7 linked regions of the Oryctolagus cuniculus genome follow. The protein of the gene in region 1 interacts with the protein of each later gene in a biochemical or structural test. Links are inferred from orthologs where the notes say so. Each region holds a gene or a part of one and is shown in the gene's direction. Other genes may lie near its edges. The genes, in order: PRMT1, HABP4, BTG2, HNRNPA1, FBL, UBAP2L and KHDRBS1.

Evidence for each region.
Region 2: the proteins of PRMT1 (region 1) and HABP4 form a complex in vitro, tested with the Homo sapiens proteins (2 studies listed by BioGRID, with this or other methods). The link is inferred for Oryctolagus cuniculus from reciprocal best matches to the Homo sapiens genes PRMT1 and HABP4.
Region 3: the proteins of PRMT1 (region 1) and BTG2 form a complex in vitro, tested with the Homo sapiens proteins (2 studies listed by BioGRID). The link is inferred for Oryctolagus cuniculus from reciprocal best matches to the Homo sapiens genes PRMT1 and BTG2.
Region 4: of the proteins of PRMT1 (region 1) and HNRNPA1, one has a biochemical effect on the other in vitro, tested with the Homo sapiens proteins (3 studies listed by BioGRID, with this or other methods). The link is inferred for Oryctolagus cuniculus from reciprocal best matches to the Homo sapiens genes PRMT1 and HNRNPA1.
Region 5: of the proteins of PRMT1 (region 1) and FBL, one has a biochemical effect on the other in vitro, tested with the Homo sapiens proteins (2 studies listed by BioGRID). The link is inferred for Oryctolagus cuniculus from reciprocal best matches to the Homo sapiens genes PRMT1 and FBL.
Region 6: of the proteins of PRMT1 (region 1) and UBAP2L, one has a biochemical effect on the other in vitro, tested with the Homo sapiens proteins (2 studies listed by BioGRID, with this or other methods). The link is inferred for Oryctolagus cuniculus from reciprocal best matches to the Homo sapiens genes PRMT1 and UBAP2L.
Region 7: of the proteins of PRMT1 (region 1) and KHDRBS1, one has a biochemical effect on the other in vitro, tested with the Homo sapiens proteins (2 studies listed by BioGRID). The link is inferred for Oryctolagus cuniculus from reciprocal best matches to the Homo sapiens genes PRMT1 and KHDRBS1.

What each region holds. Positions count from the first base shown.
Region 1 is NC_091449.1:7,829,451-7,833,619, reverse strand, and holds the start of PRMT1 (protein arginine N-methyltransferase 1), read left to right. Parts: upstream 1-1,369; 5' UTR 1,370-1,448; coding exon 1,449-1,484; intron 1,485-2,275; exon of another isoform or gene 2,276-2,447; intron 2,448-3,285; coding exon 3,286-3,339; exon of another isoform or gene 3,340-3,343; intron 3,344-3,640; exon of another isoform or gene 3,641-3,740; coding exon of another isoform or gene 3,741-3,743; intron 3,744-3,948; coding exon 3,949-4,050; intron 4,051-4,169. UniProt on the Homo sapiens protein: Arginine methyltransferase that methylates (mono and asymmetric dimethylation) the guanidino nitrogens of arginyl residues present in proteins such as ESR1, histone H2, H3 and H4, FMR1, ILF3, HNRNPA1, HNRNPD, NFATC2IP, SUPT5H, TAF15, EWS, HABP4, SERBP1, RBM15, FOXO1, CHTOP, MAP3K5/ASK1, MICU1 and NPRL2.
Region 2 is NC_091432.1:141,290,836-141,294,812, reverse strand, and holds the start of HABP4 (intracellular hyaluronan-binding protein 4), read left to right. Parts: upstream 1-1,177; 5' UTR 1,178-1,306; coding exon 1,307-1,691; intron 1,692-3,977. UniProt on the Homo sapiens protein: Ribosome-binding protein that promotes ribosome hibernation, a process during which ribosomes are stabilized in an inactive state and preserved from proteasomal degradation.
Region 3 is NC_091444.1:19,034,168-19,038,101, forward strand, and holds the start of BTG2 (protein BTG2), read left to right. Parts: upstream 1-1,134; 5' UTR 1,135-1,475; coding exon 1,476-1,857; intron 1,858-2,797; coding exon 2,798-3,132; 3' UTR 3,133-3,934. UniProt on the Homo sapiens protein: Anti-proliferative protein; the function is mediated by association with deadenylase subunits of the CCR4-NOT complex. Activates mRNA deadenylation in a CNOT6 and CNOT7-dependent manner. In vitro can inhibit deadenylase activity of CNOT7 and CNOT8.
Region 4 is NC_091442.1:57,220,230-57,224,128, forward strand, and holds the end of HNRNPA1 (heterogeneous nuclear ribonucleoprotein A1), read left to right. Parts: intron 1-194; coding exon 195-350; intron 351-560; coding exon 561-616; 3' UTR 617-626; intron 627-873; exon of another isoform or gene 874-1,569; intron 1,570-2,986; 3' UTR 2,987-3,399; downstream 3,400-3,899. UniProt on the Homo sapiens protein: Involved in the packaging of pre-mRNA into hnRNP particles, transport of poly(A) mRNA from the nucleus to the cytoplasm and modulation of splice site selection.
Region 5 is NC_091449.1:14,143,720-14,147,770, forward strand, and holds the start of FBL (rRNA 2'-O-methyltransferase fibrillarin), read left to right. Parts: upstream 1-1,251; 5' UTR 1,252-1,385; coding exon 1,386-1,395; intron 1,396-4,051.
Region 6 is NC_091438.1:44,138,999-44,142,498, reverse strand, and holds part of UBAP2L (ubiquitin-associated protein 2-like), read left to right. Parts: intron 1-480; coding exon 481-535; intron 536-1,195; coding exon 1,196-1,370; intron 1,371-1,707; coding exon 1,708-1,780; intron 1,781-3,063; coding exon 3,064-3,259; intron 3,260-3,342; coding exon 3,343-3,431; intron 3,432-3,500. UniProt on the Homo sapiens protein: Recruits the ubiquitination machinery to RNA polymerase II for polyubiquitination, removal and degradation, when the transcription-coupled nucleotide excision repair (TC-NER) machinery fails to resolve DNA damage.
Region 7 is NC_091438.1:140,400,118-140,403,617, reverse strand, and holds part of KHDRBS1 (KH domain-containing, RNA-binding, signal transduction-associated protein 1), read left to right. Parts: intron 1-2,403; coding exon 2,404-2,528; intron 2,529-3,346; coding exon 3,347-3,463; intron 3,464-3,500. UniProt on the Homo sapiens protein: Recruited and tyrosine phosphorylated by several receptor systems, for example the T-cell, leptin and insulin receptors. Once phosphorylated, functions as an adapter protein in signal transduction cascades by binding to SH2 and SH3 domain-containing proteins.

The sequences.
Region 1 (4,169 bases):
TTCTACTTTCTGAGATGGAAACACCGCCTTGCCCCCCCCCTCCCCGAGCGATTCTCCCTCTAAGCAATGGCGTGCTGGGGGAGGGGCTACATTCATTTAAATCTGAGGGGCGGGCTTTCAGCCTAACCGACGAGGCCCCTACATCCCGCCCTCTATGCCTGGCTCCAGCTCCAGGTCCCTACTAAACCGCAGCAGCTGGGCCCCCCACCCACGTGGGAGGCCGGGACGGAGCTCCAGGCGCCCAGCTTCTGGGCCTGGCCTTTGTGGGACATCTGGGGCGGAGACCCAGGCAGTGGGAGTGTGCTCGCTCGCGCTCTCCGCCTCTGCCCTCGGGGGTGCTAGGGAGCGGGTGGGAGGCAGGGGCGGGGGCCCGGTGCTCGGACGCGGGGAGCCCTGGAGAGCGGGAGGCGAGCTGATAGGTCATCCAGGGAACCTCCCTGTGCTCGAGTGGACCGGGCGGGAAGCCCGCCGGGGCGTGGAAAGGCGCCGGCCCGAGGACTGCGGCGGGGTGCACGCACTCAGCGCCCGGCATTAGCCTCCACTGCGTGCCTGCGTGTAGATCCGGGAGGGCTTCCCGGAGGCGGCAGCGGCCGGACGCCCGCACTGACCGCTGGGTGCCGGCCAGACAAAGGGAGGAGGGCGTTCCTGGCAGGAGGCGGGACGTGGCGAAGGCCCGGCGGCCCAGAGGGGGCTGCTGGGTCCCAGACTTGGCGCCGTTAAGGACGGGGCGCGGGTGACAGGCGTCCACGCCTGGCTCCCATCAAGCCCTCCCTGCCTCGGGGCCTCGCGCTGCGTCCGTTCCTGTCCCCGGGTGAACGGGCACAGGCTCCCCGGCTCCTGCAGGACTCCCCTCGAGCTGCCAGGACCCACCGGACGGACGATGAGCGGCAGTTCCTCTGAGCCAATCGCTGGTGCCGAAAGGCCGGCCTGGCTCGCTCCCCGTGGGCCAATTGCCGTGTTCTCCTTGAGGGCCGTGCTCGGCCAGAGCTAGCCAGAGGCCTGGTGACGTCACCTTCCGGCTTAGCCAATAGCAGCGATCAGGTGGCGGGTCAATTCGTTGATGGACAGCTCTGCTTCAAGACGTCCGCTTAGCGCGAGGACCGCCGGGAAGTTTTGAGGAGGTGCTGGGCGGACACTCCTGGTTAACTTTGTCCAATCAGTAGACGGGGTTCTTGAGATGGACAGGCAGCTTCTCCCATCCCAGTCGACTTAAGGGGGCGGGGCTGTGACCGCCAGACTGGGAGGGCCCTGGCCTTTGACGGGCGTCTTCGGCACCCAATTGCTACACGGTATTTTCAGACGGGCCGCCGCCGTTGCCAATGAAATCTCCTAGCGCGGTAGCGGTAGGCGTGTCGTCGACCCTCCGGTATAAGGCGGTCCCGGGGGAGTGAGGAGAAAGGGGGGGGTCTCGGCTGCCGGAGGAGGAGGAGGAGTAGGTGCGGGTGAAGATGGCGGCAGCCGAGGCCGCGAACTGCATCATGGAGGTGAGAGCCCGGAGCGCCGCCGGGGATGGGGGCGGCCTGGCGTCGGCGTTTTACGCTCCCGCGGTGGGGAGGGGGCTCTGAGTCGCCGAAGTGGGGCTAAAAGGGCCCCTGGCCGCGCGGAGGGAGCGGCGAATGCTCCGGATCTGAGGATATCGCTGGAGTTGGGGGGTTCCCTCGCTTTCTGGGGCCTTCGATACCCGGCTGAGCCGAGGGGCTCATCCCCCCTCCCACGTGGAGGAGGGCCGGGGGCGCTTCCGGCCGGGCCCCCACGTGGCTGCGGCGCGGTGGGTGGGGAGGGGGTGTGCCGATCCCGGTGGCCCGGCGGACTCCACGTGCGGGACAAAGGCCCCGCCCCCGCCCGGAGGAGGGGGTCCGGTGGGAGCCTCCGACCCCCTCGCAGAGCCCCTCCAGGGCTGCTCCCCGGGGACCGGGTTGCACGCGCTGGGGTGGGGTGTGCCTGCTGACCGGCCCCTCGGAAGGAGTCTTGGGGGGCGGCGCTGGTCCCCCCTGCACACGGGGCCAGGGACCTCCGCGCGGCGTGGGAGAGAGATGGAGAATTGCAGCGCCCCCCCAGCTCCTCCTCTGCCCCCGGGCTCTCCCCGGGCCGGGGCTTCGGGAGCTGGGGGATGGGTCATGCCCCTGTGACCTCCCTGTGCGGTGGGGGGGCACCTAGATGGAGATCTCCCCGATAGGGCGCCGCGCACCCCCTGGTGGCCAGTTCTCGGCGTGTGGGAGGGACCTTCTTCATGGGCGTGTCCGCAAGCCCACCTCCCCGTTGGAGCCCTCCAGGGTGGGCGGAGGGAGAGTGTTGGCCGGGAAGGCGATGGGATGAGAAATGCACCGCGCGCGGGCTGTGAGCTGTGCCCGCTGGGTTCCCGCGTGTGCGAGCGTGGGAGATGACCTTGCCCGGCCTGACGGAGGGTCCTGGTTTGCAGCGAGATTTCGGCCCTGTGCAGCCATGGGGTGAAGGTTCCAGTTTGGGTGGTTGCAAGCCCTCCCGGGACGGGGCACGCATGGGTGGTATTCGATACCGCTGGCTTGGGAGAATTTGGGGAGAGGGCCTGGAGCCAGGTGGGCCGTGGCCTGTGACTTGGCCCCTCTGAAGAGGTGTGGTGTGGCGGACTGTCACCCCTCGTAGCGTTCTCGGGATGGGGGTGCAGCACTCACTGCCCCGCGGGGCCCCCTTGACTCTCCTGGGGAGAGTGGAGGAAGTGACTTCCCGGAAGTCACGCGTGGGGGCTTCAGGGTCTGGGTGGCCGAGACGGGCCACCTGTGGGGCCGTCCTCGCGGGGCTGGCCTCCCGGCTCCTGCCCTTCCTGGTTTTGTGTGGAGCTTCCTGAAGCCACGGCGGGAGCCGGGAGCCGGGGTGCTGGCGCTGGGGGTGGCCGCGTGCCCAGCCCTCTTTCTGGAATCCTGCCCCACGGGAGGCCTTGGGGGCGCACCCCGCCGGCCCCCCTCGCTCCAGCTATTCAGGGCACCGGGGATGGGGTGTGAGGAAGCGTCACCTAATCTGGGGGGATTAGGCAAGGAGCAGGAGGGACAGCTGGCGCTGCCCGTGTGCCCGGCGGACGCCAGGTCCTCGGCCGGGGTGGGGGCAGGCCGCCATCTCTCCAGCCACAGCTGGGATAGGAGACCCCGCTTCTCCCTCCACTTCTCCCCTCCCTTTCTCACCGCCCCATCACTGACTCCCTCCTCACAGCGCCCAGCCCGGAGCAGGAAAGTGAAGGGATCCCACTCCCCAGAGACTGGCCCTCCCTGGCCTCTCCCGTAGCTAATCCTCTCTCCCTGTACTCTCTCCTAGAATTTTGTAGCCACCTTGGCTAATGGGATGAGCCTCCAGCCGCCTCTTGACGACGTAAATATCCTTTTGTGAGACCCCTCCCACCCGCACCTGCACATAAACCCATCTCCCCACACGGCCGGCCCCCCACCCGCACCTCCACATCAGTCTGTCTCGCTCTGAGACCCGCCCCCACCTGCAGCTCCACACAAGTCTCTCGCCACACGGCTGGCCCCTCCCACAGGCCTCACGGTGGTCCCTGTGGCTTCAAACCAGCTTCCCCAGAAGCCCCCGCCACACTTAGTGCCAACCCCTCCAGGGTCACGGCCCCTGCTGGCCCCGGTTCCGTGGCTGCTTCCTTAACTCCATCTCCAACCCCCTGGCCCTTCCCCGCGTCTGCCCCAGTCCTGCCTTCCCTTCCCCTCCCCTCCCCAGCTGTGGGCTGAGCTAGAGACGGGGGCAGAGAGACTGGAGAGATGGTAGGCGGGCCTGCGGCATCGGGCGCTCCCCTGGACGGTGCTCTGGGGGGTCCTGGACGTGGCGAACGGGGATCGTAGGTTGTGGGGGCTGCGGGGACTCCAGGGCCGTCACGGCTATGATTCGGGGGTCTCGGTAACACTCCTGAGGGAAAGGCGGGGAGGCGGAGCCCCTGGATCTAACCGTGCCCCGTCCCCTCCCTGCCAGGTGTCCTGCGGCCAGGCCGAAGGCAGCGAGAAGCCCAACGCCGAGGACATGACGTCCAAAGACTACTACTTTGACTCCTACGCCCACTTCGGCATCCACGAGGTGAGTGCGGCCCTGAGGCCTGTGCGTGCGTAGGAATATTTGCATATCTTCATGTTATCGGAAGCGGCTGGTTCCCTCACCCCAGTGCCTGCAGGAGCTAGGGTTGGCGCAGCCAGGAG
Region 2 (3,977 bases), on another chromosome or scaffold:
AAGCTGTCTGTGTTGGTGACCAGGTGAGATGTCTTGGACGAAGTCCAGCCCAGCATTCTCCTGGGCCTCCGGGTTTCAACCGAATATCTCAAAAGAAACAAAACCCCAAACACAACATGTCCAACATGGGTTCTTTGGCTTTTTTTTTTTTTTTTTTATCTACTTGAAAGTCAGAGATAGAGACAGAAAGAGATTTGCCATCTGCTCGTTTACTTCCCGAATGCTCAGAGCAGCTGAGGCTGGACCAGATGGAAGCCGGGAGCCAGGAATTCAATGCAGGTCTCCTACGTGGGTAGCAGAGATCCGGCTACTTGAGGGGCATCACCTGCTAGCTCCTAGGGTGCGCATGAGCAGGACCCAAATCAGGCTCTCTGACGGAGCATGTGGGCGTCCCACGTGTCGTCTCCACTGCTCAGGCTCCATGCTCGCCCCTGGGACTGAGCCCCTAATTGTCATCCAAGTGTTCCATCCCGGGACTCTATTTCTTTGTGATTAGCACTACCGTTCCAGAAAAAACAGGAGTCCTCATGTTCTCCCTCCTCAGCGCCCACACCCAGGGCACCCCCACGTCCGGCCGGCAGAAACCCCCATTCCTCGGCTCTGGACTCCACTCTTGGCACCTCCGCGGCCACCGCGTCACTATCCCTGCGGGTTCCACCTCCAGCCCCTCTATCGCAGCCAGGAAGGCCTCTTCAAACCCAAACCTGCTCGTGTTCAAAGCCGGTTTCCCACGGCTCTTGCAATAAGGACCGACACGAGCAGTAGCCCTGGCGTCTGGGCGGGGACCCCCCCTTCTCCCTCGGCCGAGCCGGCATCGCCTAAGGAAAGCCTTTCCCGGCTTCCCCATCGTCGGGTCACGAAGCTTCAACCAAGAGAGGAAAACAAGAAACACGGACCCACTCGCCGGGAAAACACGCGTGCCGGCCGCTGTCCGCCCGCCCGCCGCGCCACCACTGATTCTCTTCACAGGTTTCTCCTCACAGGAGCCCCGCCCCTGGCTCCGCCCCCCGCGCCCGGCCGGAGGGGGCGGGGCACACGCGTCGCGTGACGTGACAGCAGCCGGCCTGTGATTGGGCTTCCGGATGCAAAGGCTGGGGGGAAAGGGGCGTGTCCGCACACGCTGATTGGCTATCGGGCGCCGGCTGGGCGGGCGGCGGCGGCGCCGGGGCGGGCACCGGGAGGGACGGGACCGGGTAGGGCAGGGAGGGCGGTGGCGGAGGCGGGCAGGATGGGTCTTCGCTGCCGTCTTCGCTGAGACTCGATCGCGTGGGCTGCCCGCGGCGGGGCCACAGGCGGCCGCGGCGGCATGAAGGGCGCTCTGGGGAGCCCCGTGGCCGCAGCCGCCGCCGCCGCGATGCAGGAGAGTTTCGGCTGCGTCGTGGCCAACCGCTTCCATCAGCTGCTGGACGACGAGTCGGACCCGTTCGACATCCTGCGCGAGGCCGAGCGCCGGCGCCAGCAGCAGCTGCAGCGCAAGAGGCGCGACGAGGCGGCGGCGGCGGCGGCGGCAGCAGCAGCAGCTGCGGCGGCGGCCGGAGCCGGCGGCCGTGGGGGCCGGAGCGCGGCCGGGGCCTCGGGCCACAGACCCGGCGCGGGCGGCGGGCGCAGGGAGTCCCAGAAGGAGCGCAAGAGCCTCCCGGCCCCCGGCGCTCAGCAGCCAGACAGCCCCGGCGGCGGCCCGCAGCCGCTCGGTACGCGCGTCCCTCCGGGGCTGGGGATGAAGGGGAAGGGGGTCACGGAGGTCACCGCTCCTCGACCCCCGTGGTGGGCCGGGGGTCTGGGAGAGACGAGTCAGGGTCGAGTTCAGAGTTCTGTGGCCTTGGCCGAGGGTCTGCGCTCCTCGGGCAGTTCTGGGGGTCGGCGGGCTAGTGCGGGCTGGCGGGGCTGGGGTCCGACGGGCTGGGCAGAGTTGGGGGTAGTGCCGGGGAAGCGTGTGGTGGGGTCGCTGCCTCCCGGCTCCCGAAGGTCGAGCGGGCAGCGGGGCGGGGGCCGGCGGAGGAGCCAGGGCGCCCCCTGACTCGGTGGTCGGGTGGCGCGGGAGCAAAGGCCCGGGTGGGCGCCCGCGCCCCGCGCCCCGCGCCTCTCCGCACGCACGTGGCTGCCGGGGGTCGGCGGCGGGGCTGGTGGCGCGGTGGCTCCCCCTCAGAACAGCAGCCTTCGCCAGCCGGTACCGGCCCGGTTCCCTGAGCGCGGCCCTGGCCTGCCTCGGGGCCCGGCGCCCTGGCCCGGGCCGCGTCACTGCCACTGTCCCCAAACCGGGGCTTGCTGAGAGCGGGCGGTTCCACCGCTCCAGCGTCTGTCCGTGCACCCCGGCTGGGGAGAGGACCTCCCGGTTAGAGTGTTAGGGCTGTGACCTCTGCGACCAGGTAGTGTTTACCTGCGTCTGGGAAGTTGAGCCCAGGAGCCCCAGTCGAGAACCAGAAAGTCGAGTCATTACAGCAAAGATGTTGGAAAGCTTAAGAAATGCTGCCTGCCCGTGCTAGGCCGGTAAATGTATAGGCTGCTTTGATCTGGGAGGTTGAGATCCTGTTTGCGTTATGGCCTTTCTCTTAAGTAAATATAATGGCAGTTGGAGAATCCAGCAAGGCTAGGCTTTCCGCTCCCTGCTTATCCTGTAGAAGGATGTCAAAGTGCAGTGCGTGCGGTCAGTATGTTCATCTTTAGCCCTGTAACAAAATGCCCTGCATTTGTGTTACAAAAATGTTAAAACAGTTCCCGCATGAATGAGGTGAAGTGAACATCCTCTTTTTCCCGTTGCTGGCACTTTCTGTTTGTATACATACATGCATAGCACTATTTTTTTTTCTAAATTTAAAATATCTGATGGAAACTGGGTTGCAACCTACTTCTTTTGCTTGACATTGTAATCACCTGTAACGTTTTTCTGTCAGTTCGTGGTACAAGTGCTCTGACTGTTGAGGTCCAATATTAGAGATATGTAGTTGACTTTTTTGGTTAGAATGAAAATTTTTTTAAAGATTTATTTTATTTATTGGAAAGACAAAGTTGTAGAGAGAGGTAGAGACAGAGAGAGAGATCTTCCATCTGCTGGTTCACTCCCCAGATGGCCGCAATAGCCAGAGCTGCACCAATCCGAAGCCAGGAGCCAGAAGCCTCTTCTTGGTCTCCCACGTGGGTGCAGGGGCCCAAGCCTGGGCCATGCTCTACTGCTTTCCCAGGCCACAGCAGAGAGCTGGATTGGAAGAGGAGCAGCCGGGACTAGAACCTGTACCCATATGGGATGCTGACGCTTCAGGCCAGGGTGTCAACCCACTGCGCCACAGCGCCAGCCCTAGAATGAAAATCTTGTCATTCTAGGTTTTTTTTTTTTTCCCCAGTATGTTATTTCAGGAGCAAATATCTCATTAATTTCTGCTTATGTAGTTACTGTGCTAAATCTGTCTGCAATTAGTGCTGGGGAGCTTCTCTCTCAAGGTTTTACAGTCCTAATTGGTATGAAGGACTAAGCTTTTCCAACAGGCAAGATTTTAAATTTGGTAAGAATGTCACGAGTACTTAGTGTAGACAAAAACCAAGCAGCTTCGATAGATAATGGAAATGTTTATTAATCTCACAAAAGTGTATCATAAGATTTTCCCCCATGGTTTTTAGAGTCTGTGACTATCTAACAATGTACATAAATCCTGTGGCAAGCCTTGCTCTGTAAATTCCTTCTTGAAGCGGTCAGAAGCTAAATGAATCAGCTCTGCTTTTCCTAGAGCTGAAGTTCAGCTTCATTTAGTAGGAAACCTTACTGCAAATGTTGTTGCATTCTGTTGTTGCATATGAACTTGGGTTTAGATCAGTGGTCAAACTGCGTGTGCCAGCCTTTTATTGGAAAGGGTGGTGAAGTGCAGTGTTTGCATTATCTGCTTGGAGCTGCTGATCCAGCACACAGACACAAGCTGGGTTCAGTGGCGGTCTTGATCTCTTGGGTCTAAATTGTGGAGGAAAAAACAACACTGGTTATCTTTGTT
Region 3 (3,934 bases), on another chromosome or scaffold:
TCAGCTCTCTGCTATGGCCTGGGAAAGCAGTGGAGGATGGCCCAAGTACTTGGGCCTCTGCAGCCATGTGGGAGACCAGGGAGAGGCGCCTGGCTCCTGGCTTAGGATCAGCGCAGCTCTGGCCTTTGCGGCCATTTGGGAAATGAACCAATGGAAGACCTTTCTCCCTGTCTCTTCTTCTCATTGTCTGTAACTCTAACTCTCAAATAAAAAAAATAAAATCTTTAAATACAAAAAAGGAGTGGGAAGGAGGCAGTGAGTGATCCAGGAGACAAGGACAGGAGCCACAGGACAGCAGGGCCAGGCATGTTCGGGCACACCTGGAATGGGGACCAAGTGACAGAGCAGAGGTGCGGATCCTGGGCTGCAGAGGTGACCCTGGCATGGGCAGTGGAGGTACATGGGCTAAATTATGAAAGGCAGAGCAGTACAGGAGACAGATGCGGGAGGGAGTGTCCCAGAGTGGTCTCAGCAAGCCGACCCGGCCCTTCAGGAAGGGGGGTCCTTGATGAGCAGCAAAGCGCAGGAGCGTCTGAGTGTTGTGGGCAAAAGGCAGGGAATGAGGGTTTCTACGAGAAACCAGGACCAGAAAGGGAGCTGGCTTGGCAGGGGGCAGGGGCCCAGGCTGCCCGCGTGGTGGCGGCTGGACGACCCTGCCCGTGTAGGAGTGCGCTGTGAGAAGTCAACAGGCTCCCTCCGGGGAAAGAGAGGGAGACAGGCGTAGGGGTGCGGGGGCACCAAGCGGGAGCGGGCGGCACGGTCTGCAGCCAGCGCAGCCCGCAGGGCACGGGGTCGGAGAAGGGCGGGAGAAAGGCTTGGAGTGAGTGGCCTGGTTCCTCGGACAAGTTACGGCGCCTTGCCGTGCGCCGGCCTCTGCGCCAGGCTGTGCCAGGTTGGGGACCTTCCTGCCTTCAGCCCATTCACCGGCTGTGGGAGACGGAGCCTGAGGTTGTCAAGGGCCCACAAGGGCCCCCGCGAGGGACAGCTGCGGGCGGACCACGCACTCCACACGCCTGGCACTGAGAGCAAAGTCAGAACGAGAGAAAACAACCCGGGGGCACAAAAGAGGCCCCGCGGCCCGCCCACTCCGGGCCCCCGCGGGGAAAGCGGGACTGGACGAGGCGCAGACCTTGCTGGGGGCAGGTGGCAGAGCAGAGAGGTGGCTCAGCCCCACTCCGACCGGAGAGGAAAAGCAGCCCAGCCGCGGAGCCGGGACAGCGCGTCTGGAGTCCCAGCAGGGCCGCTTGGGCGGCGTGGCACTCGCCAAGGCTTCCTGGAGGAGGGGGCCTTAAAACCCAGCCAAGCCTCGGACTGGCGGAGAGCCGAGGACCGGACACGTCCGGCGGGCAGCACCCGGGGAGCCACCTCCCTTCCCCGAGAGCTCGCGCCCCCTCCCTCCTCGGCCCTCGCTCGCTCCTCCGCTCGCCGCAGCTCCGGAGCCGGGCGCAGGTTCCCAGCACTGACGTCAGCGGGCGATGACCTCAGCGCAGACGAGGGGGCGGAGGCGGGGGCGGAGCGGTGCCACGACGGACCCCACCCCCGTCCCCCGTCCGCCGCCAATGGGCGCCGCCCCCGATTGCCCCGCCCCCGGGAACCCTAAGAAATTCGCGGCCCGGGGGAAGTCCGCGCAGAGTGCGAGCGGCGACCAGACGGCGAAGCTGGCTCCCCGGCACGTCCCGCGGAGACCTCTCCCTGCTCCTGGCGCCGCGCACGACATGAGCCACGGGCAGAGAAGCGACATGGTCCCGGAGATCGCCGCCGCTGTGGGCTTCCTCTCCAGCCTCCTGAGGACGCGGGGCTGCGTGAGCGAGCAGAGGCTTAAGGTTTTCAGCGGGGCGCTCCAGGAAGCACTAACAGGTGAGCGCTGCCCAGTGTACTGGCGCCCCCCCCACCACACACACCGGGGCGACCACCCGCTGCTCTCGGGGTCCCGGTTGCCCTCCCCCGACTCCCCGTGTCGTGTCTTCCGGCAGGGCGCGCCCCTTCACACCGTGGAGCTGATCAGCTTGCGCGCGGGCAGAGGGGGTACCCGTGAGTCTGAGTAGGGGCGCGTCTCCGTCGCGGAACGCCTGAGACCTGAAGCCCCGCCAGTCAAACGGGGGGTCCGTGGTGGAGAAGAAGGAGTCCTCGGGGCTTCTCCCGTTGTTGCCTCGCTGGAAGTTGGGATCTGGTCTCCCTTTGTCTTCTCTTTGGTCCGTCTCAGCCATCTGCCACCTACTGTGGTGTAGAGAGAGCCGGGAGCCAGGACCTCCGCTCTGTGGCCGGGCCTGGGGGGTGAGGGGCACTTGAGAACAGGATTAGCTGCCGGCTGGGCAGGAGACCCAGCTCCCTTGCCGCCCGCTAGGCTGGGGCTGGAGGGCGGTACAGATCCTGCCTGCCCAGGAACAACACAGTCCATCAAAACAATCCATCTCCACTTCCTTGTCCCCGGGCTAACTGTCCCTGTCTCTTCTAAAGGAAGCAAAGGGGCCACTAGGCCAGAGGGGAGGCCCAATGACTTTCTCTGGACCCAAGAATGCTGGCAGCTTCCTTGGCCTTGAGCCTCTGGAGCCCCTGCCTGGACATGCCAGCCCTAGTCACACCCGTCCCTCCCTCCTTAAACTGGCTGTGGCCCTGGACAGAGCCCCAGCGCTCTGGCGCCCCCTGCCACAGGCACACTCCCCTGTCCTGGCAGAGGGAGGGGCCTCCGTTTCTGGAGGGTCCTGCTTGCGGTCCCTGGGCCCCTTCCCCTCCTCCTCTCCTCCACCCTGGTCGATGTCCCTGCAGCTCTAACCTGAGCCCGGTCCTGTCTCCGCAGAGCACTACAGACACCACTGGTTTCCTGAAAAGCCGTCCAAGGGCTCCGGCTACCGCTGCATCCGCATCAACCACAAGATGGACCCGATCATCAGCAAGGTGGCCAGCCAGACCGGACTGAGCCAGCCCCAGCTGCACCGGCTGCTGCCCAGCGAGCTGACCCTGTGGGTGGACCCCTTTGAGGTGTCCTACCGCATCGGCGAGGACGGCTCCATCTGCGTCCTGTACGAGGAGGCCCCGGTGGCTGCCTCCTGTGGGCTTCTCACCTGCAAGAACCAGGTGATGCTGGGCAGAAGCAGCCCCTCGAAGAACTACGTGATGGCCGTGTCCAGCTAGACGTCGCCCCTGCCGCCGGCCCGGCACGCGGCTGTGCTCGTCCTGCCGTGACCACGGCCGCCGCATACCTCAGCCTGGGGAACTGTGTTTCTACATGAAGAGCTATTTATATATATATTATTTTTTTTAAGAAAAGAGGAGGAAAAAAAAACAACCAAAAGATTTTTTTAAGAAAAAAATCCTTAAAGGGAGCTGCTTAGAAGCGGCCTCCCCAGGTGCCTTTGCAGAGTCTGTGAGCCAGTGTCTGCCCGTGGGGGGAGGGGAGGTTAGGCTGGCACCCCAAACAAGGTTAGCTACTGTGAACAAGTGGGGGGCTGGGGTCTGCCCTGGGGGAGAACAGGGGTGAAGTTCAAGCCTCCCCGTTCCCCGCCAGGACACCTGCATCCCCGGCCCCGCTCTCACTCAGGGGCATTCAAGCCTGGACTTAAACAATCCTCTGTAGCCTGATCTTCTTACTTTCCTGTTGAGATTCTAGGCAGGGAGTGAAAAGGCCTCTCCTGGCTTAGCAGCTCTTCCTGTTTCAGATTCTACCCTCAGGGGCCTGTAGAAGTTGCCCCCTACCCCCACAGCCCCCACCCCAGGGGTAAGGCGGGGATTGGAAGTCCCAGGGGGTGGGGGTGGAAGGGAACTCTGCACAAAACTTTTGCTTTGCTCTGTGCTGCTTTGTGTGTGCGTGTGGCAGGTGTTTTGGGGGCCGACTTGCAATGGAATCTTGGGACCCAAAGAGTATCCACTAAGGATGTCTTTTGGCCAAAACCCTTTTTTTTTTTTGGAACCACGCGAGAGCCCCGATGCTGCTACC
Region 4 (3,899 bases), on another chromosome or scaffold:
GGGTTGCTTTGTAAAACTTCTGGATTATTCAACTGAATGCCTTGTCCAGAGAATGAAAATGCAGATGTGCAGCCACCTGAGTTTGGGAGGAAGCAGGCAGATAATAAAAGCTTTAATTCTGAACACTGAGCAGAATTGGGTACTCTCAGTCACCTTCTCAAGTAACACACAAAGGCCATCTTTCTGTTCCCTAGGAAGCAATTTTGGAGGCAGCGGAGGCTACAATGATTTTGGCAATTACAACAATCAATCTTCAAATTTTGGACCCATGAAGGGAGGAAATTTTGGAGGCAGAAGCTCTGGCCCCTATGGTGGTGGCGGCCAATATTTTGCCAAACCACGAAATCAAGGTATGGTATGAATGTAACTGGGAGATGAGCAAGTAAAAGGGAAAGGAGTTGGTTTGTTGGGTGCATAGCTGATGGTGCTGCCCTTGTCAGGTTTCGCTAAGGCTGTTAAATAGTCACTCCTAAGTTTGAACTTGTCTCATCCCATTGAACATGAAAGCAGGGCTTTTGCCGTGGGCACTTGAGAGGTTAAAAGGCCCAATCTTGTTCTAGGTGGCTATGGTGGTTCTAGCAGCAGCAGCAGCTATGGCAGTGGCAGAAGGTTTTAATAACTGCCAGGTAAGTAAACACCTTTTTTTGTGTGTGCTTTTTTTTTTAAGTTTTTATAATCGCTGCTAAACCCTAATGTAGCTAAGCAGTGTGGCATAGTTAACATTATAATATTGCAGTAAAATTGTGGGTATTAAGTTCAGATAATATTGATAATTCAGATGAGCAAAATTTGTGGGAAACAACTTAATATTGGATTGTAGCCTTGAGTCTTAATATGTTTAGATTAACAACTTTATTCCATATTGTTCAACAGGAAACAAAGCTTAGCAGGAGAGGAGAGCCAGAGAAGTGACAGGGAAGCTACAGGTTACAACAGATTTGTGAACTCAGCCAAGCACAGTGGTGGCAGGGCCTAGCTGCTACAAAGAAGACATGTTTTAGACAATACTCATGTGTATGGGCAAAAAAACTCGAGGACTGTATTTGTGACTAATTGTATAACAGGTTATTTTAGTTTCTGTTCTGTGGAAAGTGTAAAGCATTCCAACAAAGGGTTTTAATGTAGTTTTTTCTTTTTTTTTCTTTTGCACCCATGCTGTTGATTGCTAAATGTAATAGTCTGATCATGACGCTGAATAAATGTGTCTTTTTTTTAAATGTGCTGTGTAAAGTTAGTCTACTCTGAAGCCATCTTGGTAAACTTCCCCAAAAAGTGTAAAGTCAGAATTCATCAGGGTGATGCCAGGTTCCATTTGAGATTTATTTACAAAATGCTCGGGTGGAGAAGCTGTTCTCAGATACATGAGTTACTGTTGTGACCTTCTGAAGTTCACCATTAAAAGCCACCCAAGCAAAGTCATGGGGTTATTTGGTTATAAGAATGATTGTTGGCACATCCTTTGCAATATATCTAAATTGAATAATGGTACCAGATAAAATTACAGATGGGAATGAAGCTGTGTATCATCCATTATCATGTGTAATCAATAAACGATTTAATTCTCTTGAATGGAATGACAACTGTATGGATTTGGGACTGGCAGAGATTTGGACTTTTCCCTACCCTCCACCCCTGATAATGTTGAATCCTACCACAATGCAAGTTCAAAACTCTGCCAGAGAATAGAAGCCAGCTGCTGGCTAATGCTTCCACTCCATTAAGTCCACAAAGATTTAGAAGTGTTTTAAGAGACATTTCTTAAAAAATACCGGTACCAGTAAGACTTGAATTCAATATAAACAGGTTTTTATTAAAGGAAAACTGCAGTTCTGCTGGGTCATGGGTCGGTGTGTGGGTGGGTCGGTCTGTGGAAATGTATGTTGATTACACTGGTTGGGGGGATTAAAACCATGAAGTGGGAGGAACAAATGTTTCTGTATAATTTCATATTAACTGCAGTTTTCCTTTAAACATGACACAAGACCACACAATCATCTGAAAGTGTTAATTGTATATATAGATAATGATTTCTAAACCTTTCATAGTTCATGGATACCCAATAATTGTTATTTGTAAATAGGTTCTTTGAAGCCTACCCTCTTTAATTTCAGTGCCATTGTATCTAGTAGTATAGATCATTGTTTACTAGTAGGACTGTATATGCCATCCCAGGGGTGTGTTGGAACATTGGGGAGGAGGGTGGGAGGGAGGTGGGTGGAAGGTGGTGGGGGGTGGGTGAGCGTGGACGGTAGTTCATGATACTGGCTGAGTTTGCAATAGCAGGTGGAACCTTTAACTGTTGAGGGAGTTTGCAGATACATCAGGATTCGTGACAATGCCTTTAAAGATCCAGGAGAGATGTTCAGCTACTAGGAACTGCTAGCAAGCATAGCGCGAATGGCTCCGAGCTCAGACTCTACAGCTGAGAGTAGACACTTGTGGTATGTGGAGCACAGATAAGCCAGGGGCAGGCCACGGCACCCTCCATGAAAGCTAGGAGGAAGTGAAGTTTGAGTGACCATCGCCAGAAAGGAGGCAGACGAGAGTAAGGCACACCTGACTCTTAGGACTAGCAGTCAGAACCAGGAGGAAAGGTTTTATTGCTATGCTGGTAGGTAAGAACAGATTTTACTTACATCCATAAAGTTAACCTAAAATCCAGTATTCTGTTAAATTTTCCTTAATATATTGAGCCAAAACTAGTCCAGTTAAGCTGAACTTGGTTTTTCTGGAGAAATTGACACCCTATTGGTGGCTCCTAATTGAAGAAAGTAATTAATTCTGTGATAATCTATTTTTGCCCTTTAATTTTATTTGCTGTCCTTTTACCCATTTCCTTGAAATAATGGCTCAAATTAATATATTGGAATCTTCCCAAAATGGGGGGAGGGCTGGGTGGGTGGACCATTAGTGGGTGGGGGTGGTTTAGCTTGATGGGACTCTGTCTTCGAAAAGAGCCAGTTCTAAAGGCTGTTTACTTTTCTAGGGAAGAATCTGCTACACGCTTATCAGCTCTTATTAAAAAAATAATTATAATTAAACCCAGAAACTCCTGTCCATGGCTAGAAAGGTAAGTTTCTATAAAATAATGGCCAGCCAAGAGTTCTCCATATTTCCAAAGTCAAAGGGAGAATTACCAACACCCAAGCACAAGGTCCAATTGTCCATAACCAAAGCAGCCAGATTCCCAGTGGTGGCAGTTAGCTGATGACAGAGCCCTGTCCTAATGCGTTAACGACTTCACCCCTCTCTTTCCTTTGCAGGAACATCCTTGTGAGGACAACCTTTGAGCCACTCCATTTCTCACTGCTATGCAGTTGATACTAGCTGTTTTGCAGCTCTAATTATTCATTCCATTTTGTGAATGAGCTTTATGAATAATAAATCATTTTATAAATACTTGGTCTGCTTCATGTTATTTTCCCATTTTAAATTAGGGATTCAAAAATGTAGGATATCAGTGATAAACTGGTCTTGGTAAGACATTGAGGCAGAGAAAGATCTTCCATATTCTGGTTTGCTCTCCAGATTACAACAGCCAGAGCTGTAAAAATCCAAAGCCTGGAGCCTCTTGGATCCCCCATGCAGGTGCAGGGGCCCAAGGACTTGGCCATCTTCCACTGCTTTCCCAGACCATAGCAGAGAACTGGATTAGAAGTGGAGCCACTGGGACTTGGACCACAACGATGTGGGATGCCAGCACCACAGACTGGGGCTTTAACTTGCTGTGTGGTGGCACCAGCCACAGGCAGTTGCCTTGACTCCATGTCTCAGATCAACTGACTGCCTTTCCCTTCTGGGGGCAGAACAAGCTGCCCAACATGGCAGCTTTTAAATGGGGGTTGGTTCCTGACTGAGACGGTGTGCTGCATTGACACTGCCGCATTCAGGATCATGGT
Region 5 (4,051 bases), about 6.3 Mb from region 1:
AGGAGGTTCCCGTGGGTGCATTCAGCAACTTCTCCCAGCAGCAACGCTGCTTTGCTCCGTGGGACGCATATTAGTATCACAAAAGTGCACGGCACAGTGTTCTCAATACTTCACGCAGGAGCCCTCCTCACCCCTCCCTGCCCACACGCTGCTGTGGTCCAACCTTGGCTCCTGCCTGGTCGCTTCTCATTCTTCTGTTCCCGCCGTCACCCCCACCGTGGCCTGAGTGACCCATGTCTGATGGAGCCCCTTCTCTGCTTAGGTCCCTGCCATGGCACCGTCTCCCTCGGGGTAAAAGCACAGAGGCCCTACACATACAGTCTGCCCTGCTGCTTCCCTGCCCGGGGCCCCTCCCACCCTCCCCTGGTTCACTCTGCCCCGGCCACACTCACCACTGTGTCTCCAGCACTCCCGAGCCTTCCTTTGTCCCTGAAAAGTGGGAGCCTCACACTTGGAGCTCATTTCTCAGAAGTCCCATATGGACTTCTAGCCACCACCGTGTGTTGCTGACTTGATGTTTTCCCCATTAAAGGATGAGGTCCGGGCCGGCCCTGTAGCAGTAGCAGGTAAAGCCGTCGCTGCATCCCATATGGGCGCCAGTTCGAGTCACTACCCTGCTCCCTGCTAATGCACCTGGCAAAGCAGCGGAGGAGGGCCCAAGTGCTTGGACCCCTGTACCCACGTGGGAGACCTGGCAGAAGCTCCTGGCTTCAGTCTGGCCCATTTGGGGAGTGGACCAGCGGAAGGAAGATCTCTGTCTCTCCCTCTCTTTCTGTATCTCTGCTTTTCAAATCCATAAAATAAATCTTGGAATAAAATAAACAAAAGACGAGCTCCAGGAGGGCGGCAGTTTCTCTGTTTTGTTCGCTGCTGAATTCCCAGCGCCTGGCGCATACAAGAGGCACCCTACATGCTGTTTGTGCCAATACAAATGAGAACCCAGAGTACAGCCCTGGTCTCAGGGGTGGAATTGGGTAAAGAACGGTTTTATGGTTCTTAGAGGGGGCCTCAGGGATGTAGCTAGGAAGACACAAGAGGGGCAGGGGGCACAGCCTGTGCGAAGTAGTCCCGATCGCTGGGATCCTTGCACCGGAGAAGAGGAAGCGAAGACAGGTTGAGCGCGGCCGCGACACCTGGGCGCGCAAAGCCCGGGAAGCGCAGAGCGCGGAGGGGGCGGAGCCCGGGACTCGGGAAATCCCCGCCCACTGCGCGCGCGCAGAGCGCCGGGCGGGGCAGGGAGCCCGGGAGCCCGGGGGCGGGGCTGCGTGACGCGTCATGCGCCGTACGTCGCCGCGCGCCTGCGCTCCTTTCCACGTGCGGCAGCCCCAGACTCGTGCGTTCAGGGACGCCGCAGATTCCCCAGACGGCGCAACTGGTAGCTCGCCATGAAGCCAGGTGCAGGCTGGGGTTGGGGTCGCGGGCTGGGGACTGGGCTCCGGAAGGAATGTGGGTACCAGGCCGGAATCGGAGGGGCAGGGTCCTGGCCTGCAGGCTGGCGTTCCGAGCCCGGGAGCCGATCTCGTGTGGAGAGGAGGGCGGGGGGGGGGGGGCGGTCCTGCTCCCAACCTGGGGTCGATCCTGAGCCCTGGGGGTTTGGGGAATTCTGGCTGGCTTCGGGGGTCGCGGCCGTGAGTCAGAAGCTTTGGTTTGAGGTTAGCGTTCCTGGCCCAGGGTTCGTCTCGCGGAAGCCGTCTTTAGGAAGAGATTTTTGGCTCTTGGGTCTGGGCAGCCCTCGGGGGGCTCGGACCTAGAGCCTGGATCCAGGTCTCTGAGGTCTTGGGTCCCTGGGCGTGGGTTTGGGTCGGACACCGAGAGTGCCTGGTCTTGGGGCTGGCAGCAGGGTCGGGAGGCCCCCGTTGCCGCCCCTTGGCTGCCGCCACCACCATCGTTAGCAGCCCCTGGCCCTGTTGAAGCCGCTCCCTGCGCTTCCGGGGGGCTGCCCCCGGCGATGGAGTGGGTTTCTAGAAGCCCGCCCTTGGCAGGGGTGTGGGGCTGCTCAGCCCCGATGGCGGGAGGATGTGACTCCTGGTTTTGACAGGAGCAGGGCCTCGGTTCAGTGTTCGAATCCTGGCCCCGCTTCTTCGTTCGCCGTGTATGTGACCTTGAACAAGTGATTTTACCGGTTTTTGCATCAATAATATGGCACCTGGTTACTATTACGGGAGATCATTTTTTTTTTTTTAACTTGACAGTTATAGACAGTGAGAGAGAGAGAGAAAGATCTTCCTTCTGTTGGTTCTCCCCCCAAATAGCCACCAGGACCGGCACTGCGCCGATCCGAAGCCAGGAGCCAGGAGCTTCCTCCTGGTCTCCCATGGGGTGCAGGGCCCAAGCACTTGGGCCATCCTCCACTGCACTCCCGGGGCACAGCAGGACTGGAAGAGGAGCAACCGGGACTAGAACCGGGCGCCCATATGGGGTGCCAGCGCTGCAGGCAGAGGATTAACCAAGTGAGCCATGGCACTGGCCCCAAGGGAGATGATGTTTTAAAAACAATTAGCCCAATACTGGCCATATAGATAACAGGTTCAGGTTGCTTCTCAAGGGAAACAAAATGAGGGTCCTTCTGCCCAACCCCCACAATCGTTCTGTTTGAGAACTTGCTGCACAGAGTTTGGGAAGTTTTCCACTGTGGCCGAAAGGGTCTGAGTTTCCCTGTGTGTGTGGAGATGGGGGTCGTGGGGGGGTTGGGGGAAGCTTGTGGATCCATGCCCTCCTCCTGAGCCTCGTTCCCTTGGGTGTCTCCTGATGAAGTGGGGTGGATGCTACGCTGTAGATCTCTCCTCCTGGGAACCTGGCATGCCTGCAGGCCTCGAGCCACCTGAGATTCCCCCAGGGACAGAGGGAGCAGCCTCTCCCTCCCAGCTTTGCCGCATGCTGTGATAGGATGGGAAGCCTCTGGGAGATTCTGAGCAGGATGCCGTGCGGTCTGATAGACAGCTTTCTTTCTTTTATTAAGATTTATTTATTTATTTGAAAGGCAGAATTGCAGGGGCGGGGAGAGGTCTTCCATCTGTTGGTTCACTCCCCAGTTGACTGCAGCAGTTGGAGCTGTGCCAATCCGGAACCAGGAGCTTTTTCTCTGGTCTCCCATGTGGGTGCAGGGGCCCAAGCACTTGGGCCATCTTCTGCTGCCTTCCCAGGCCATAGCAGAGAGCTGGTTTGGAAGTGGAGCAGCTGGGACTTGCGCCGGCGCCCATATGGGATGCCTACACGGCAGGTGTTGGCTTTACCTACTGCACCCTGATTGACATCTTGAAGAGGGGCCCTCTGTGTAAACTGGGCCTTAGGGGAGCAGAGTGGCTGCAGGCACGTCGGTGGCAGGCGTGTCGCTGAAACCTGGTGACGCAGTTCGGACCAAGATGGCAGCAGTGGACCTGCTGACAAATGGATGACCTGGGGATGTGTTTTGGAAATAGCACCAGTCGACTGTGTGGATGTGAGAGAGGAATTGGAAGGATGGAGCTGGCCCTGTGGGTGAGGAAGACGGCGGTGGGGGCAGTTTTGGAAGCAGGGAGTCTGTGGGCTGTGCGCCCGAAGCTTCCCTGGGAGTCAGAGTCGGTGGCTTCTGGTGCACGAGCCGCAAGGCCGGCGATGGATTAGCGACGAGTTGAGTTTTCAGGCACAGTTCACGCTCACGACCCTGTACCCAGTGCTCATGCCGGGCCTTCCCAGGGTCTCTGCTCTGTCAGGCCTCGGTTGTAGCTTTCCTCCTGAGCAGGAGGGAGTGGGGACTAATTACCCCAAGGCCAGGCCCTCAGTACGGCGCCTCCCAGCCTGGGCCCCATATCAGCATCTGTAAAAGTGCCCATGCTGGGGCAGGCATTCATGGCACAGCAGTTAAGATGCGTCCGTATCAGAGTGCCCGATTCGAGTCCCTGCTGCTCTGTTCTGATCCAGCTTTCTGCTAATGCCCACCCTGGGGGGCAACAGATGATGGCTCAAGTACTTGAGCCCTGCCACCCCCACGGAGACCTGGATTAAGTTCTAGGTTCTTGAGGCCAGGGTTGTGGCACAGCAGGGTGAGCCCCAGCATCCCTTGTGGGAGCCG
Region 6 (3,500 bases), on another chromosome or scaffold:
TGTCATCTCTTCTTGGAAGATCTGGTTGCTAGCCTTCTGAGTGCATATCAAAAGACCTCACCTTGCTCTGTTTTGACTTGGTGAGGGGACAGCATATCAGAGGTGATGTGGAGTGATTGTCAAGTACAGCCAGCATGCATGGGTGTTTTCGCTGAACTGATGTACTCCCACATTCTCCTGCAAGGATCACTGGATTTGAATTTTGGACCTTTCTGGTATCTGTTTGGATTTGGGGTGTCATTAGCAGTTTTGGGGATTGCCTTCTAGGATACAGGGATGGGGTAACTGGTTTGGGTTTTAATTTTTTATTTTGTTTCTTTGGATAGTTTACATTTTATTAATCCTTTTGTTACCTTGCAGAGTTTCTCCCAAAGGTGTTTTTGTTTGTTTGTTTGTTTGTATCACCAAAATTAAGCTGGGTCAGTGCTAACTTGCCCCATTCAAATGAGTTTGTTCTTGCTCCTCTGTTTCTTGTACCAGAATGGCTTCAGTTCGGTGCAGGCCACGCAGTTACAGACTACGCAATCTGTTGAAGGTGAGTGTTCTCTGAGCTTTTTCCTCTAAATTACAGTGCTTTTTCTCCTGTTAATATTTTCGCATTTCTTAGGTTGTCAAAAAAAGCTCTGACATGGTTGAAACATCTGCTATAATCTTAGTTTGGTTGTGCTTTACTGTTTAATGTGAAATCATCTAAACTTTTCAGGTTTTCTGTCTGTAAAGCAGATAATTTCATTGGTTTCTTTCATTAGGCAATTAAAATTCATGCTATGAAATGCATGGAGTTTCAAAAGATTCTACCTGGGGCCAGCTTTGTGGCTCAGTGCATTAAGTCACTGCCTGAAATGCCAGCATTCCGTATCAGGTTGCCATTCTGAATCCCAGCTACTCTGCTACTGATCCACCTTCCTGCTAGTGTGTCTGGGAAAGCAGTAGAGAATGGTCCAAATACTTAGGCCCTACCGCCCGTGTGGGAGACCCAGGTAGAGTTACAGGTTCCTGGCTTTGGCTTGGCCATTGTGGCCATTTGGGGAATGAACCAACTGATGGAAGAGATCTGTCAACTTTGCCTTTCCAAAAAAAAAAAAAACCTTTGTAATTCAAATACTTCATTATTAAATGACTCACACTCCTGTCGTTGGGGTAGCCCACGCCTGTAGCTACCTCTTCATTTGATGAAGTTCTTCTTTATTTCCAGGTGCTACAGGCTCTGCAGTGAAATCTGATTCACCTTCCACTTCTACCATCCCCCCTCTCAATGAAACGGTATCTGCAGCTTCCTTACTGACGACAACCAATCAGCACTCGTCCTCCTTGGGTGGCTTGAGCCATAGTGAGGAGATTCCAAATACCACCACCACACAACACAGCAGGTAACTTGGGGTGAGAGGATGGAGGTTGGGGTTAGTTGAGTATCAAAACAGAGCTCTCTTATTCTCTTATCCCCCTTGCTTGATAGAGACCATATTAAGTAAGTGGATAGCCTGAGTACTGTGAAAAGTGAAGGCTAAAAAGACCTATTTTATTTTCCCAATGCAATAGCTGCTTTAGCTTTAGTGGCTCACTACCCTGCCTGTTTACTGTGCTTACCATATGATCTAAGACCTTTTTGGTCCCATATTCTGGCTTCAGTTCCTTGCTTGTGTTGGACTGAAGCTCAAGGTCACTTGAGCACTGTGGCTGATGAACAGCTCTTTTCTGTCTTTACAGCACGTTATCTACACAGCAGAATACCCTTTCCTCATCAACATCTTCTGGACGGACTTCAACATCCACTCTTTTGGTAAGTATGGCACCGAGGACTGTGGTTTTCTTAAAGCTATAACTATCCAACACTGAAATTCTCCTAAGAGGGAATTCTTGAATGTTTCTTCATGGGGTGATAAAATGATAATTGGTCTGAGGTTGCAGGAAAAGGAGTAAAAAAGGGGTGTTGGGAAGTCAAGAGAGTCTGATGAATCTAGAAGTACTGCAGAGCCCTGGAAGTGATTGACTTTGCTCAACTCTGAAGGTAGATGGGGCTTTCTATGCTCAAGTAATTTTTGTAAGAAGGACCATTTCCGGGACTGGTGCTGTGGCACAGCAAGTAGAACCACCACCTGCAGTGATGGCAACCCATTTGAGCATTAGTTCGAGTCTTGGCTGCTCCACTTCCAATCCAGCTCTCTGCTTATGGCCTGGGAAAGCAGTGTAAGATAGCCCAAGTCCTTGGGTCCCTGTCACTGATGTGGGAGACCGGGAGGAAGCTCCTGGCTCCTGGCTTCAGATTGGCCCCGCTCCAGCCATTGCAGCCATATGTGGGGTAGTGAACCAGTGGTTAGAAGACCTCTCTCTCTCTTCTCTCTATCAAATAAATATTTATTATTATTATTAAAAAAGGATCATTTCCCTGTCATTCTTGAACTGAAACTGGAGTATAGTGAACACAAGTCCTGAAAGTAATCATCATGAATCTTGATATCCTTAAGAATTTAGATGCCTGGTGAGAAGTCTCTGTCAAAGAGTTTTACTGCTGTGATTTTAACAGTTATTGGTGGAATTAGGCTGAGTTTTAAAGGAAAGACTCATTGTGCATAAAGGTGTCAGGTTTGCTAGAAATCTGTGAGAAGATATATAAGGACTAAGACTTTATTAGGAATTTCTTTCTGGTCAGATACACAATTTCAGGTTTAAAGTCAGGGCTGTACTCTTTTCTAGCCCAGAAGCTGATCTGTTAGACTGAACTAGTAAAGAAAAGCATGAACGGGAAGGCTGTGACACATACCTCAGATCTTAATTATCTCTGTCCCCTTACTGCTAATCAGTGTTGGTCTCACACACTTTTCTGTCTTCCTGAATAGGATGATGATGTATAATGGGTCTCTGATACTATCCTTTCTAGTTGAATCTTGAGGAATGTGTAACTGGAGATTCCAGCTACTTTGGTAGATACAGGCACCTTGGTGCTCTGCCTTAGCCGTTTTAATTGGGAAAATTGACATGATGATATCAGAAGAAGGGATTGTGCATTCTTCCTTACCTGTGGTGCTAATTTTCATCTCTCTTCCATTGCTCCGCTTTTTGAAGCACACAAGTGTGGAGAGTGAGGCGAATCTCCATTCTTCCTCCAGCACTTTTTCCACCACATCCAGCACAGTCTCTGCACCTCCCCCTGTGGTCAGTGTCTCCTCTAGTCTGAACAGTGGCAGTAGCCTGGGCCTCAGCTTAGGCAGCAACTCCACCGTCACAGCCTCCACGCGAAGCTCAGTTGCTACAACTTCAGGTAATCTTGCATAGCTGGATGGCATTCCTCTGGGTTAGAGGTGAGTAATTGTGTGACAAGATCAAATGTAGTTTCTCTTTTAGGAAAAGCTCCTCCCAACCTCCCTCCTGGGGTCCCGCCGTTGTTGCCTAATCCATATATCATGGCTCCAGGGCTGTTACATGCCTACCCGGTAAGTGGCACTGGATAGTCTTCTCCAAGAGGTGAGGGTAGTATGGCTACTCCTTTTGTGTGTCTGGCT
Region 7 (3,500 bases), on another chromosome or scaffold:
CAGAATAAATAAATTTTTAAAAAGCTTTAACATGATAAATTTTCTGGGTGCTTAAGGTTTTTTTGTTCTTTTAAGATTTATTTATTAGGCCGGCACTGTGGCTCAATAGGCTAATCCTCCACCTTGCGGCGCCGGCACACCGGGTTCTAGTCCCGGTTGGGGCGCCGGATTCTGTCCCGGTTGCCCCTCTTCCAGGCCAGCCCTCTGCTGTGGCCAGGGAGTGCAGTGGAGGATGGCCCAGGTGCTTGGGCCCTGCACCCCATGGGAGACCAGGAAAAGCACCTGGCTCCTGGCTCCTGCCATCGGATCAGCGCGGTGCGCCGGCTGCAGCGGCGGCCATTGGAGGGTGAACCAACGGCAAAAGGAAGACCTTTCTCTCTCTCTCTCTCTCTCACTGTCCACTCTGCCTGTCAAAAAAAAAAAAAAAAAAAAAAAAAAGATTTATTTATTTATTTGAAAGAGTTACAGAGAGAGAGAGAGACCTTCCATCTGCTGGTTTACTTCCCAGATGGCCGCAAGCCAGGAGCTTTATTTGGGTCACCCATGTAGGTGGCAGGGGCCCAGACACTTAGGCCATCCGCCATTAATTTTCCTAGGCCATTACCAGATAGCTGGATCAGAAGTAGAGCAGCCAGAACAGGAACTGATGCTTTTATGGGATGGTGTGTGTTAAATGTTCTTTGTATGTCATTTATAACTCAGTAAAGTGGATAAAAAGAAGTGCTTTGGTGCTTTTTTTTTTTTTTAGGACATTGAATTTGAACTAGGTGAAGGTGACTATATATTAAACACTTTCTAAGAAATAGACTAATTAGGCATTTGTATATGTTACTTTCCTCTGCCTTTATCTGTCCTCATAAGGTAGATATGGCCTCTGTTTTACAAATGCAGAAATCAAGATTCAAAGCAGTCAAATAACATCTTTTTTTCTTTTTCTTTTTTTTTTTTTTTACACAGGCAGAGTGGACAGTGAGAGAGAAACAGAGAGAAAGGTCTTCCTTTTGCCGTTGGTTCACCCTCCATTGGCCGCCGCGGCCGGTGTACCGCGCTGATCCGATGGCAGGAGCCAGGTGCTTCTCCTGGTCTCCCATGGGGTGCAGGGCCCAAGCACTTGGGCCATCCTCCATTGCACTCCCGGGCCACAGCAGAGAGCTGGCCTGAAAGAGGGGCAACTGGGACAGAATCCGGCGCCCTGACCGGGACTAGAACCTGGTGTGCCAGTGCCGCTAGGCGGAGGATTAGCCTAGTGAGCCGTGGCGCCAGCCAGTCAAATAACATCTAAGTTCACACAACTAGTGAGTGGCAGAGTAAGAACCAGGTCTTTCAAACTTTTAAGGACAAGTATCCAAAATCACTACTGTCATAATGGAATTTTAATGGAATGTTAAATATATATTTAAATTACTGGCTTCCCCCACTCCAAGATTTATTTATTCATTTAAAAGACAGATCTTCCTCCTGCTGGTTCGCTCCCCAGGTGGCAGCAACAGCCAGGACTGGGCTAGGCTGAAGTCAGGAGCTTCTTGTAGCTCTCCCACATGGGTGGCAAGAGCCTCAGGACTTGGGTCATCTTCTGCTGCTTTTCCCAGGCCATGGGCAGGGAGCTGAAACAGAAGCTGAGCAGCTTCTATAAGAACCAGTGCCCATATGGAATGCCCAGCGCTGCGGGCGGGGGCTTAACTTGCTGTTTCCTTTCTTCAGCAGGGTGCAACTTCGTATTTTTTCTTGGTGAAGATTTTTATTTTTTAGTTCCTTTATGCCCCTAGTCCTTATCTCATCTCATTAGTCTTGTTAAATTATTTACTTTTTTTTTTTTTTTTTTTTTAAGATTTATTTATTTGAGAGTTTCACAGAGAGAAGGAGAGGCAGAGAGAGAGAGGTCTTCCATCCACTGGTTCACTCCCCAATTGGCCGCAGTGGCCAGAGCTGTGCCGATCTGTAGCCAAGAACTTCCTCCGGGTCTCCCACACAGGTACAGGGGCCCAGGGACTTGGGCCATCTTCTGCTGCTTTCCCAGACCATAGCAGAGAGCTGGATCGGAAGTGGAGCAGCCGGGACTAGAACCAGCGCCCATATAGGATGCTGGCACTACAGGCAGCGGCTTTACCTGCTACGCCACAGCACTGGTCCCTCTACTTACTCTTAAATCAGGACATTTTGTATGTTTTTGGTGCAGAGGCTTCAGATCAGGATGGAAAGGAAACTGCTGGTAGAAGCAGGCGTTGGGTTTCCTAGCCATCCTCATATAGCTTTGACACTTGGAGCCAGTCTATCTGAAATTAGCACATTGGTCATCTGAAGTCCTCGGTTTCATTACGTGGTACTCCATGTTATTGCTTTAGCAGATTTGGGAATTTGCCTTCATTTACCAGACCAAAAATAAAATCTGTTTTTCCTATTCAGAAATTGAGAAGATTCAGAAAGGGGATTCAAAAAAGGATGATGAGGAGAATTACTTGGATTTATTTTCTCATAAGAACATGAAGCTGAAAGAGCGGGTACTGATTCCTGTCAAGCAGTATCCCAAGGTAGGAGAAAAATGTGCGCTCTTTAAATCTCTTTATGGTATGGGCGTCATTAGCTGTAGTAAGGATTTCTGAAGATGGTGATACGTCAGAAACTTGAGCCTGAGGAACTGCTGTTCCCTACTTGCGCTACCTGTTTGTGGTGGTTGGAACATCTGCATCTATAACTAATAGCATAGCTAAAGCCAGGAAGGAAATGAAATCATCTCGTTATTATCAATGAGTTGTGTGTGTGTGTGTGTGTGTGTGTTTAATGTTCATGCAGGCTCCAGGTCCAAGGAAAAAATTGAACCCTGCAGTTCTCACCATCAAAAAGATTGACCTGAAATCTAAATAAAATGAAATAGTTAAACAAATCCTTGACTGAATGAAGTTTATTTTCTTGCTCAAAGTTTAAGTCATTGCTTTCTTCTCCTCCTCTTTCTCCTTTTTAAGGAAAGCAACATTATTTATATTTAGTTAGCTAAACATAGTACCAAACAGTGTCACATGTCTGTTCTGTTGTAAGGTCACTGTCTTAAAAATGTTATGTGCTATATGTTAAAATGTTTATACTAAAATACTGCAAATTGGAGTGTGTGATGGACAGAGCACCAGCTTCCATCAGGAAACCCAACTTCCAAGTGTAGGAACTGCCACTTTCTGATGTGTAACCTTAGACTAATCACTTTATCAGCACAATCTTGGTATCCTTCAGTAAACTGGGAGTGGTAATACTCTACCTATTTTACAGGGTTGTTGAAAATCAATGCAGAGCACAAATATATGTGGAAATTTTTATAGGAGCATATGTATTTAGAAATCTCTTTTATTTCTGTCAGTTCAATTTTGTTGGAAAGATTCTTGGACCACAAGGAAATACAATAAAAAGGCTGCAGGAAGAGACTGGTGCAAAGATCTCTGTGTTGGGAAAGGGTTCAATGAGAGACAAAGCCAAGGTAAGCTCACATTAGTGAGGCAAGAGGATGCCCTAGT